2 linked regions of the Arabidopsis thaliana genome follow. The protein of the gene in region 1 binds, or shares a complex with, the protein of each later gene. Each region holds a gene or a part of one and is shown on either strand. Other genes may lie near its edges.

The links.
Region 2: NRPB2 (region 1) and NRPB3 share a complex: the UniProt entries of both Arabidopsis thaliana proteins name them as parts of the RNA polymerase II complex.

Annotation. Positions count from the first base shown.
Region 1 is NC_003075.7:11,536,001-11,544,314, forward strand, and holds the start of NRPB2 (DNA-directed RNA polymerase family protein), read right to left. Parts: upstream 6,406-8,314; 5' UTR 6,201-6,405; coding exon 5,952-6,200; intron 5,176-5,951; coding exon 4,954-5,175; intron 4,852-4,953; coding exon 4,561-4,851; intron 4,451-4,560; coding exon 4,253-4,450; intron 4,162-4,252; coding exon 4,097-4,161; intron 3,994-4,096; coding exon 3,907-3,993; intron 3,830-3,906; coding exon 3,709-3,829; intron 3,614-3,708; coding exon 3,569-3,613; intron 3,477-3,568; coding exon 3,339-3,476; intron 3,206-3,338; coding exon 3,133-3,205; intron 2,968-3,132; coding exon 2,891-2,967; intron 2,813-2,890; coding exon 2,705-2,812; intron 2,619-2,704; coding exon 2,502-2,618; intron 2,410-2,501; coding exon 2,254-2,409; intron 2,173-2,253; coding exon 2,068-2,172; intron 1,985-2,067; coding exon 1,859-1,984; intron 1,766-1,858; coding exon 1,688-1,765; intron 1,595-1,687; coding exon 1,499-1,594; intron 1,410-1,498; coding exon 1,294-1,409; intron 1,219-1,293; and 9 more. Other genes in the region: AT4G21720 (defensin-like protein), read left to right, coding at 6,561-6,636, 7,533-7,586, 7,796-7,899, 7,992-8,030, 8,128-8,274. UniProt on the Arabidopsis thaliana protein: DNA-dependent RNA polymerase catalyzes the transcription of DNA into RNA using the four ribonucleoside triphosphates as substrates. Second largest component of RNA polymerase II which synthesizes mRNA precursors and many functional non-coding RNAs.
Region 2 is NC_003071.7:6,731,745-6,736,584, reverse strand, and holds NRPB3 (DNA-directed RNA polymerase family protein), read right to left. Parts: upstream 3,052-4,840; 5' UTR 2,925-3,051; coding exon 2,476-2,924; intron 2,222-2,475; coding exon 1,984-2,221; coding exon of another isoform or gene 1,939-1,983; exon of another isoform or gene 1,829-1,938; coding exon of another isoform or gene 1,781-1,828; exon of another isoform or gene 1,376-1,780; coding exon 1,103-1,375; 3' UTR 766-1,102; downstream 1-765. UniProt on the Arabidopsis thaliana protein: DNA-dependent RNA polymerase catalyzes the transcription of DNA into RNA using the four ribonucleoside triphosphates as substrates. Component of RNA polymerase II which synthesizes mRNA precursors and many functional non-coding RNAs.

The DNA of each region.
Region 1 (8,314 bases):
TCAAACAGCCTCTCTTTCAAAAAGTGAGCAGCACCATGTGCAATCATGCAATCGCGCTCCATTTCTCCAAAACGGAGACCACCATCACGTGATCGCCCTTCAGCTGGTTGTCTTGTTAAGATTTGCACCGGACCTCGTCCACGCGAGTGAATCTTGTCATCAACCATATGCTTCAATCTTTGGTAATATGTTGGTCCAAGGAATATCATAGCTGTGAGTGGTCTGCCCGTGTGACCATTGTACATTCTCTCAAATCCACGCATTTGGTACCCACACTTATGAAGGGCTTTGCTTATATTATCCACCTAACGACACAACATTGGTCAAAACTAATAATACCAAGCCCAATGCTAACTAAGCAGCTAAGGAAAATGCAAGTTACCGTGACATCTGTAAAGGGAGTAGCATCTCCTTCTTTTCCCATGTGAGCTGCCACTTTTCCCATGATGCACTCAATTAGCTGTCCAATTGTCATTCGAGACGGAATAGCATGTGGATTCACAATAATGTCCGGAGTGACCCCTTCAATCGTCCATGGCATATCCTCCTGCGTGTAGGTCATGCCAACAGTTCCCTTCTGACCGTGTCTACTACTAAATTTGTCTCCAATTTGAGGAATCCGCACGGATCTGACCCTCACTTTCACAAACCTCAAACCATCTGCATTTGTAGTCAATAACACCTACACGAAGTTACAAGAATTGATCAGTTTCATATTTCAATCCTGAAACTTTCTAAACCCTTAACTGCAAGGAAAAGCCAAAGTTACCTGATCCACCATTCCAGTTTCACTATGTCGCAAGCTTATACTATGATCACGTCTAGTGTATCGGGATGATTGTCCTTGAGCCTCATCTTGAGATATTGGAGTGGTTTTCCCAATGATAACATCTTCACCTGAAACTCTAGTACCCTATACCAAAAATAAAAGATTGTATGATATGCTTTCTAACATTAGTCACCTAATCATATCAGATAATAAATAATTAAGGAACAATAAATTATAAACTTACAGGAGGCGCAAGACCATCATCATCCAGTTTATCATAAGAACCATGTCGCATACCCTGCAGCAGAAACCCAAGTGTTAAACTTCACTTACAAAAAGCACCACTGAAGTATGAACCATGTGTCAATTACTTTCTTACCATTGTACTTCCTCTGTCTGGGCGCCCAAAGTCTTCTTTGACAAGCGTCCCCATTTTTTTCTCCTCATCTCTGTCAGCAAACGTGATTGCAGTATAAATAAATGGAAAGACCGAAGGCAAACGTCCAAAAGTATAGCATACTCACCTGTAAGACCGAAAGAACAAGGATCGAAAGAAACCACGATCTATTGAAGACTGATTCATGATGACAGAATCTTCTTGATTATATCCAGAATAGCAAGAAATGGCAACAATAGCATTCTGCACAAGAAGAAGAAAAAAAAACATTTGAGAGATTTGATACACGAGCAATGCTGAATTCTGAAAAACTTCTAGCAAAAATAACTTACAATTCCTGCTGGAAGTTGTCTAAAGTGAAGATGCTCCATAGCTCTTGTAGTAACCAAAGGCTTTTGTGGATAATAGAGAACATAAGCTAACGTATCCTGGTTGACAGAACAATAATAATTTCTTTAAAATATTGAGTGATGTAACAAGAGCTGACAAGAAAGACCACAAATTAAGAGCCTAGAACATACCATGCGAAATTGGTAGTTGGTGACATAAATTCCCATTGCTTGCTTCCCCATGGCAGATTGATATGTATTACGAGGTGACTAATACATCAAAAAGTAAAGGGTTAGTTAGCATGAAACTGAATTTACATAATGAAATCGCTTCTGATAGAAAAGTCATTTAGACAGAGGTACCTGATTATGGTCAGGAAATGGTATGATTGAAGCACAGACCCCCAATATCAGAGATGGGTGAATCTCACAATGTGTGTAGTTTTCAGTATAAGCCTCTTCTGGGCGGAGTCTAGCTTGAACCAGATCCTACAACAAACATAAGAGTAAGATTTCTGCAGAAATTAGTGCACCACAAACTCATTTAATCACATCTTCATTTCATTACTCACACTGATAGTCATGGAAATCATGGTCGTTTCCTCTTCTTCTGTGTCTATGTATTCTATAAAGCCCTTAGCAACCAGATGATGCCAACCATCTTCTTCTGCACTTTCCTGGGTTATGAAAACAAATATTGGTACAATGGAATTTATAACAAAAGATACTTTGATAACAGGTAAAAATTAGAATTTTACCCTTTGTTGCAGAGCATAGATATCTCTCTTCTTTATTAAGAGCTTCTGATTATCTACAATAAACAACGGACGGCTACAACGTCCATAATCAGTGTATATCCGGAGCTCTTTAAGACGGATATCTCTAACTACACCAACTTCAGTGTTGACATCAACCTGCAAGAGGAAAAAGTAATATGTCACTTCTGCATAAAGTTGCAATATTTTCACTAGCATATATGGAAACGTGAAAGAAACTGCATGCTTACCCTTCGTCTCAAACGTCTCAACGTTTTCACCAACATGTCAGGATCTCTATGAACTCCAACCCACATTCCATTGACAAAGATTTTTGTGGCTTGGGGTATAACAGATGGAGATATTTCCTATATTCAAGTTAAGACCTTCAGGAAACCACAAGAACCAAGGAGGCAGATGTTGGGTAAGAAATTGAATGTGAAATGCTACAGACCTCAAAATTCTCAGTACCCCATTCTTCCAAAAATTCCAATATAGGATAAGCAGCTGACCCAACTGTTATGTAGACCATGAGAGCCAAGTTTTTCACTAGACCACAAGCCTGGTACAGCAAAGCCACAATGAGCAATGGAACTATAAAATCCGAAACACCCTTATTTTATAAATATAACAATTTTACCTGTCCTTCAGGTGTTTCAGCAGGGCACATCATTCCCCACTGTGAGTTGTGCAGTTGTCTTGGTTTTGCCAATTTTCCTGGCATATCAGACTTGATTAGATTCAAGTGGGATAAACAAAAGTACAAGCCAATCTAAATTGCAAGGATGTGGATAATAAAGAGAACCATGACTAAAATACACCAACTGTACGAACAGTTACACAGAGACAAAATAGAAGTGCAGGAAAAGAACGAGGCTTTACCTTCACGTCCTATTGGAGAATTGAGACGCCTCAGATGTGACAAAGTCGAAGCATATGTCAACCGGTTAAGAACCTGTTGTTAGTTAAGTCTTTAGAGCCATATAAATCATGCAATGAATTATAATAGGCCAAAACAGTAAACCCGATAACATACATCAAGAAATTATTGGAACTCAAAAACATAATTAACATAGAATTATCCTAACCTGAGAGACTCCAGCTCTTGTGCCAGCAGCGTTTGCCTGGCCCCAGTTCCCAGTAGCAAGAGAATATTTCAGGCCAGAGGTAATTGTTTTAGCCTTAATGGCAAATTGAAGATTGACTTCTTTGCCATTGTCAACGCACTGTCAAAGAAACATGAATCAGACTTCCAAACACAGAATAACAACTTAATACTAAAGTCTTTGGCTCGAGAAAGAGTAACTATGTAAGATACCTTTTGAACATAAGATCTCACATCCCTTGTTAACTTTCGGAAAAGCTGCATGTAGAGAAGATGTTAGGTCAGTAAGAGATAAAAAAAACACTGATACTCAACAATCCCCAAGAGTGTATAATTGTGTGCCGGGAACAAACCATTCTAAATAGCCCTCCAAGTAAAGGACCAGCAAGATCCAGCCTTTTGTTACCATAATGATCCCTATCATCTTCTGGCCTTCGGCCAAGTGCACAAAGCAGCAGCCGGTGTATGATATACCTACGGATCATAGCATAATATGAGCAACACAGAAACATGTTAAGTCTATAAACATTACAAGTGAGTTAAATACCTACCCAAAATAGTAAGCTTTCTTTGTCTCGCAATGCTCCCCAATTCCTACATGAGGAAGCATTTCTTTCTGAAGGATATCTCTAGCATACCTGCAATGATAATATTGCAATCGCAAACCTCCAGTGTGAACATCTCAATAGTTGACATCTTAGATCATAATGTCCAACTTAATTGGTTTAGATTATCACATACTTTATCCTTTTTTCCTTGGTTACACCAACAGTTGCACCACGTTTTCCAATATAGTCAAGTGCAACCTGAAGTAATATGAAAGTTATCAAGTGATTGCAAGATCAATTCCTCAAGCATAATAAAATGTCATTAACCAAGTGAAAAAAAAGTGGATACCAGCTGATTTTGAATAACGAAAGCTTCTTCCAAGGAAGGCCTGAGCAACTCCATCATCTGGGTATCGGCAAAATCATAGCAGATGTGTTCCAATATGTCCTTATCGGCAACAAATCCCAGTGCACGAAATACTATGATAATAGGAATTTCTGTTCTGATGTATGGAAGAGTACATCGAATATACTGTCCAGATGAACCCTGCATCCATTTGCAACATAGAATGTAATTTATTTACCATTATCTAGAATTTAAAGAATAAATTTCGAGGAAGGATATAGTAGAGTTAAGACTAATTAGCTTTCTCTTACCCCTTTTGCACTAGCACGAGCAAGCATACGCACAAACATTGTGCTTGGAGGCCTATTTTGGTTTTCAGCCATAGAACGGACTTCACCAACATAAGCATACTTATTTGGCTGCCTTTTCTTGAACACATAAACATGATTCGTACTCATCTTCTCCTGAGCAATCAGAACCTTTTCACTGCCATTAATAATGAAGTATCCACCCTGATCATAAGGACATTCTCCAAGCTCTGTCAGGTCTTTCTCCGAGTTCTGAAACAAGGTACAGTAACTAGACCGGAGCATGATGGGAACCTAGCAAATAATCAAACAAGAAGAAAACATTTCTACTATCAGAACAGTAGAGTACATGGAAACACCTAAATAAATGTGACACAATGAACTGAGTTCGGACACCTTTCCAATGAAAACTTTAGTAAAATCCTGTGTCTCCGTAACTTCTTCACCATCATGCCCTTTCTTAATAACTCTCTTAGTAACATCGACATACAAAGGCGCAGAGTATGTGAGATTTCTCAACCTTGCAGCCTTAGGGAACAGGGTGGCAGTCTCTCCATCAGACTCTGTCATCATAGGTTTACTCAGATAAATCTGTCCAAAGCTAATCTTGTAGATTGTCTGCAGGAAAACAGCTATATCAGACATACAGAAAAACAGATAGCAAAACAGCTATATCTCAGCTCACACAAAGTCAAAAATGATTTGAGCTTCAACCGATAATAAAGACCACTGAAAGGACACTTTGAAAAAAGCGAAGAGCTCAAGCATTAAATGGAAAGATAATCTCGGAAAATCAATGAGCTTAGCTACTCGACAAAGGCAGACCCTAATTGCAACAAAACTTAAAAACTGATTTAAGCTTTAACCAATATTCAAAACCACTGAAAATACACCTCAAAAAAGCGAAGAGCTCAAGCATCGAATACAAAGATAATCATGGGAAATCATTGAGATAAGCTTCTCAGATAAGGGCTAACAATAGACTGTCTGCAGGAAAACAGACCAAAGGGACAGCAAAAAAAGATACCAAACTCATTTTTATAGTGCCAAAACTGATTTGAGTTTCAACCAATACTATAAATCCTCCTCGAAAGAGATGAGCTCAAGCATTAACTCAAAGATAATCTCGGGACATTAATAAGATTACCAGCTCAAAGTCAATATCCGGACATCAATAGTCAAAATCATTTTTTGACTCTTGAACAGCATATAGCTCAAGCATTGAATAACAAGACAATCTCGGGACATCAATAAGATTCAGGTAAACCCTAATCGCACCCAAACGGTAGAAGCTCAAATCGAAACACTTTAAAACCGCCACAAACACGATAAACCCGCACATAATTTCGAATTCCCATAGAAACCCTAGAAAAAAACAAAAACGAGGAAACAACCTCCGCAAAATCGGACTGATGGCCAGGATTATGCTGAGATTCAGGTCGGATCTCGATATCAGCAGACTCATCAACGATTTCTTGCATAGTATTTTGAATAAACTCATCAAACGAATCCAGCTGTTGACGAACGAGACCTTTCTCTTCGAAATAAGCAGATATAACAGCCCACGCGTCCTCCTGGGTAATCTCCTCATCGTCATCGTCTTCTACATATTGAGGTTCAGGTTCGTATTCGTTGTACTCCATTTATTCTCACTCTCTGAAGATTAGAGCACAGCAAACTTCACTACTCGAGCTCTCGGAGACAAAGAGAGAGACAGGACGCAGAGAATGAGACGGCTTTGTGAGATTGTGAGTTTATAAAGGCTCGAGAGAGAGAAGTCGGCTTAAGTTTATGGAAATAACCGGTTTGTATCAATAACCGGTTTGATTAAATGGGATTATAAAAAGGATCGGTTTGGTTGTTAGAGAGCTTGGATTGTTAAATGACGGAAACACCCTTACTATATAAAGAAAAGTCTCCGGCTACATTTTTGTGGCGTCAGCGATATTTTCGGAAGAAGAGAGAGAGAGACGGAGAGTGAAGGCGGAGGAAGGGAGAGAGAGATGATACCGCAGCAATGGACGCCGCCGTGTGGGAGCAAATGCACGAATAAGTACTCAGCATTTACGCAGCTTCCATGTATGTAATATCTGGACTCTTAATTTGTGTGAATCGGATTCGTTTTTGAGTTTTGATGTTCGTGGTCCGTTGTTTTTTGATGGTTTAGTTTTCGATGATGATGATAAGAATCTGTTGTTGGAGCTGATAGATTGGGTTCTGATTTGGATTGGTGATTGATTTCTTGATTCAAAAGTCAATTTAGTCTTCCGAGTGTTTCTTCTTTTTGTTGTTGTTTGGAATTGAAATTGGGATCTGTAAATTGGATTGTTGATTGATTTCTTGATTCATAAACCCTAATTATTTGTTGGTGCACTCTACTTCATTACGATTATACTAAACATTTTGGTCAAGAATCGCTTCTTTGGTTAGATTGGTCCAGAGACAACTTATAGTTGTAGTTGCAAGTATTTAAGAACATCCATCTTGACTCGTAATTGAATAATGTAGATTGAAGAATCGGCAACATTTATATTGATTACAAGTAAGGGAGATTATGCAGAGTTCTTAGAGCTTTTCTATCATGTAATTAAGAAAATGGTTAAATTAGTAGGAGAAAGTGGAAGATAATAAGTTGTAGTTTATGAACTGAAAGAAATTTAAAGGGAGAGAGTCAAAGTAACGGTATCAAAGATGCTTCTGTATCCATGTTGCTTCTATGAACTATTGACATATATGTATGCTTAAGCTAGTTAAAGGGCTTGGTTTGGCTGTTTCTGTCTTTCTGATGAAAGCTTTTCATTCTCTGATCTCTGAATTTCATTCATGGGCACAAAAGCTAGCTGAACTTATGCTTGGTATGACATTTTTTCCATAGCAATCTGGGTTTTTTTTCAGCTTTAGCATCAGTGTTTATCCTCCATGTTGTTGTATGACATTTTTTCCATAGCACTAATGTAATTCCTGAATCTGTGTAGGGAGAGTATTCTGCAAAAAGGGATGTGATGCCGATAGTGACTCATGGGAAGATTGTAAGCATTTCTTTTTAATTCTTTGTAATCTGTAACGAAACTGTTGATGAAATGATGAGCGGTTAGATTTGTCCTCACTATGGAACATCATAAAAACCAAGCTTGTCTCCTACATAACGAAATTACATGTTCATGAAGAGTATCTTCTGCTTTTCAGGTTTAAGTTTCCAAGTTAATGAATTGGTGTAATAGTAGTGTACTCTCTATAGGTGTAGGAGACTGCAGTGAAATTTGCTACAAAGATCCTGTGCTAAAAGACAGACCATGGACTGCTGTTATAGATCGTTCTCCTGGAGATGCCAAATACTCTGAGGTAATTCACACAATGAATCTTTTTCTTCAAAAAAGAGAAATGGACTGAACCGTATCTAATTGTTGTACATGTAACTCTGTTTTTAAATTCAGGAATGCTTTCACGCATGTGTAGCAGGCTGTGGTTACAAGGTTTGTTTCCTTGCTTCAACCTCAATAATTTGATGCGTTTGGAAATACACTCTACTTCTCTGAACCCGTGTGGCTGTATTTTTTTGTCATCATGCAGTTTGATGTTGAAGCTGAGATAGTCAATAAGGTGAAACCAAAGAGACCTCCACCACCACCGCCAAAGCCACAACCACCACCACCACCACCACGTTCTCAAAAACCAATGCAGCCTCCTACTGAGGATGTTCTTGCAACTTCCGCTTGACGTATCTCAACCCCCATCAAAGGCTAACACTTGGAACTCC
Region 2 (4,840 bases), on another chromosome or scaffold:
GAGAATTGTTGTTTACACGGAGGTCGTGTAAGAAAGAGACGGCGACAAAATTCACCGGCTCTCCAATGAATTTGAGCTGATTACGGAGAGAAAGCCAATCCAAGAAACGAATGCATATTAATCGGAGACGTGTATCTCTCCTATTGCGTTTGATTTAAAATTATTAATGGGATATGTTGTAGACGATGCTGCAATAGTGGAACAAGAAAAAAGAAACAAAATGAAATTTTTTTTTACAAAGTTGTAAAAAATGAAACTGTAAAACGACATTAGGTAAAAGTACCTCAATTTGTGAATACTGTGAAATTTTTCTATCTCCACAAAAGCACAAACTTTAATGTGCCGATCCCATAATTGATCCAACTAAATAGATATACTTACTTTCTTACGAAAATGTGGTGGCCTATAATTTTAAAAAATAAAATTGTGGCTGGACCTATTTGACCACTGGACTTTCGACTCACCACTCAGCAATGCGTGAAAATGTGGCATCCCCTCTCATGGCGTAAGGACTAGCGATACGAGCGGTCATCACTGCCACTTTGGAAGCAGAATTGAGAGATTTACTGATTGAATCTGATTGTTAATAATTAGTCCAAGTAATCAATGCCGGAATTCTCTTATCTAAGATCCATGACATCATTTCGGACCTATGAATTAGCTCGAAAACTTTTGAGTTTTTGTCTCTTGTTTCATTCCAAGGGAAGCTACTCACCATAACTTATTGTGTGATCGAAGTTCAAGAACTTAAGAGCTTTAAATTGGGTATCCACTATGCAAAAGTCTTTCATTCCATTTCAGTTAATGGTACGAATTTTAAGATTAAACTACATACTTGTTCCATTTTAATCATACTTGTTCAATGTATTGAATTTAATCCTTGCGTTTATTTTCGTTACGAGCGAGTCTAACAACTAACAACAACCAAACTTAACAAGATTCAGGAACAGAGGGATCAGAGGTCCAGAACAAATAGAAGACTGCCACTTCACATGTTATCAAACAAGACAGTGCCACTACGGTTAATATCAGTCTGCTCCAGAAGAAACTCAAAACCTGAAACAAACAGGTATAACAAAGAGCTCGAATTAATCACTTGAGTTCATCCTCCACGCATATGGGCACCGAGTTCACCAAACTGATCATCCGCTTCTACGGTGTCATCTGAGAGACGGACTGCATCAAGCTTCTGCTTCAGAAGATCAATGGCATTTAGTACCAGTTGGGAAGCCTTCACTGCACCTGTGGACTCAACAGTGAATATAAAACTGTCATCTTTCGGACTGATCTCAATGAGTCCCGGTTTCCCCATTGCTTCAGCTTTCTTGATCACTTCTTCATCGTAAGTGTATGCTTCAGGATCAACCACTACAACCTAAGAAGCAAAGTATAAAAATTACAGTTGTGATGATTCAAGCAACAGACTTCAAAAGAAATGGCATACTAAATTCCAACGATAAACTACTGTAACTGTTATAATGATATACAATGTTCTCTAGCGGGTCAAAGGAAAATTGTCAGTTGTGGTGAGTCCTAGTAAACACTGAACCATTAACATGAAATCTCCAAGAAAATTCAACTGGTACAGAGGTACTACAAGTACTATATCTTCTCCTTTCTTTATTCCCTTTACCATTCGAATAATTTGAAATCTCTAACATGAAATCACAAACAAAAGTTCAACTGGCACAGAGATACTCCAAGTGATTCATATAATTTGCAGTGATTAGATATAGAAAGATGTTTCAGTTTGGTACCAGAAGTTTAGCAGTTATTTGATTCATTCCGATGACTGGCGTAATTCTCCTAAAGAGCTAAGTAGTGCTATCTAACAGAAAGAGAAGCACAGAAAAGAGCAAATGCACTAACCACATCACATATATATATTTCAAGGCATGGCAGTCTATAAAGTAGTTCAATCATATTTAAGTCTCAAAGCTATAAACTTGTATAGCTGCATTCTTCCAAAACGTGAAAACTAACCTGTCTGGTGACTGGATCCATGCCAAACACTTTGGTAGGACTGCTCTCAATCAAGTCGATCTTTTCCTCGTCTGACAAAGTATCCATCATATCTTCATTAATAATTATGTCAGGCTCATACATAAACGTAACAGTAGCTGCAGGAGACCATTTCGCATGATCTTTCCCAATCCCTTTCCTCGCTATCGCTCTAAGCTTCAACTCTTGTCCCCGACGCAGTTTCACAATGATAATTCCCCTGAAACCCGAAACCAAAAACAGAGTCTTTAACCCACACAACCACCATAATTAAACATCAAACAATCACGAACAAGAAGAGTCATGCAAAGGGCCATCGAAAGGAAGTATTTTTCATCCTCGGAATGCTAAAAGATGCAAATTTTGTTTCACCATTGCTTAATCTCTAACGTTTCACAACTCCAATCGATTCATAATGACAAAAGAAACACCACATTTCTGCATTTAACAATCTAATGATGAAAAGGGACTTACTTGTGCTCGCTTGAATCAGATACAGACGAGTCAATAGTGAAATCCACAGGAGTAACAGTAGGATCAGCACTGTACAAATCCCTACTAGTAACATCTAGGGTTTGATCAGTAACACACTTAGAACTAAGCCGAAACTCAACAGAGCAAAACTCGCATTGTCCATCTCCATCACAAGCATCACAATCTCGAGAGAAACGCATGCTCATAGCACGTTCGCTAGTGAGAGGAATGAGACCTAATCGATGAGCAATGAACTCGTCGTTGAGTACAGATGAATTAACCTCGATTTCGACTAGATCTATTGCGACGGTAGGGACTTCGGAGATCATTACGCGACGGAGAGCGTTGGCCATAGAAACGTCGGTTTCACGAAGCTCGAACTTGGCGTAATCATCTTTAAGCTCACGGATCTTGATCTTTGGGAATCTTTGGTATGTGGCACCGTCCATTTCAAAAGCTAATCGGTGGTTTCTGACGACTCTCTGGACCTTTATTAGGGTTTTAGGGATAATGAATTTTCAATTTCTTCGCCGGAGAAGGAGATAGGAGAAGAAATCAGAATAAAGCAAAAGTGAGAAAGATATAAATATTAGAGTAATGTTTAAAGTTGGGCCTATATGGGCCTTTTTAATTCTTTTGGCGAAAAGTAATGTCACCAAATTTCAAACAGGCCCATATAAGCCCAACTCAAATGTTTTTTTTTATACCTTTTCCTTTTTCTTTTTTCTTTTTTTTTTTGTCAAACGTATACCTCTTTATTTAAGTTCTTTTTTCATAGATTCTTTTATCGTACTCAACAACTCTACGAGATCTCATAGTATTTAGTGATATTATAGTCATATATTTGGGAGGAAAACACCATGTATCAAAAAATTTGAAATGATCTCATAGTACCATTAACCATTACAACCCAACTAATTTTACTCATCAAACCAATTGACTCATCAACTCATTTGACCCATCAACTCATTTGAGTCAAAATTTTGAACTCATTAGAGTTCATGGGTTGAGTTGAATTGAGTTGACCCATAAATTTTGACCCATTTTGACACCCATAATCAAAATGTTAACAAGTTTAGTTAAGTTTCTTTAACAATATTAAGGACAAGATGTTAACAAATATTTTAACATGTGAGTGTTAAAGGATTTCATCATTCTTTAATCAACAAGCACTGCCTAATGCATTATTTAGATCATCACAAGGACCATCGTTATAAACTCTTACAATGCTTATCCCTTTGATTACTCTAAAGAAAATGGAGAAATGTGTAATTTGTCAAACATCCAATGGTAAGAATACATTAGACACCATTTATACATTTATCTAAACCAAAAATACTCAATTTTATTTTAAGCTACTAGACAAGAACATCCAAAGTTTATTATTATCTCTCACAAATGATTAATTTACTCTTTGTCTACGAAAATAGAATGCAAAAATTCCCATTTTATAAAAGAAGAAAATGGTTCGGCCAAAACAATACGACAAAAATAAAATAAAAAAAATTGGGTAATGTTTGTACAATTAAACAAGTTATATCATTTTTCCTACTTCCAAGAAAATGAGAGTGCAACTAATAATATGTGTCTGATTAATTTTCTTCATATGTATAGTGAAATCTATATAAAATTATATATATATACAAAAAAAAATTCATAGTTTACAAAGAAAGCAATAAAAACAATGTAAGTGTTTATTTATTATTTTAAAAATTGGGTATTGTTTAGGCTATGGTTAAAGGGTTAAGAATACAAATTAGGAGTATTTGAGTATTTGGTTAGTTAAAAACTCTTTTAGTTTTGAAGGAGATCATCGAGATACTGTGGCGAATTTGGGAAATCGAGGCATTGTATTTAGAAATTTTAGAACATCAAGATTTAGGGAATGCAAGATCTATGGAATTTGTAACACTTAGGCAAGATTTAAAAATCTAAGAATGTAGCAGATCTGGATTCTAGGGAGATCTAGGAGAAGGTTTGTGATAGAACTGATGCTTGGAAAATTCTAATTGAAGAAGACATTGTAGCAAAACTAAGATAGTTATTTATATATCTACAAATCTAATATATTTTGATGCTATATTTGCCAGATGTCGCACATGTACTTAAAGCATCAACCCAAAGTTGGCTTAATGCTGCTGAGTGGACAACGCTTTATGACAACAACCATTTACTGTTCCTTGAAACAAGCTCTTTCACTATACTTATTAAGGAAGACGGACTCTATACAGTTGACAACAACTTCATGCAGGACAGGAATACCTGGAGAGTAATAAGTACCCACTCCACTTGCAGAAATCCAAACGTTGTCTACGATGTTAAGATTGGAAGAGGACTCTACAGATTTTATGATGATTGGGATTGT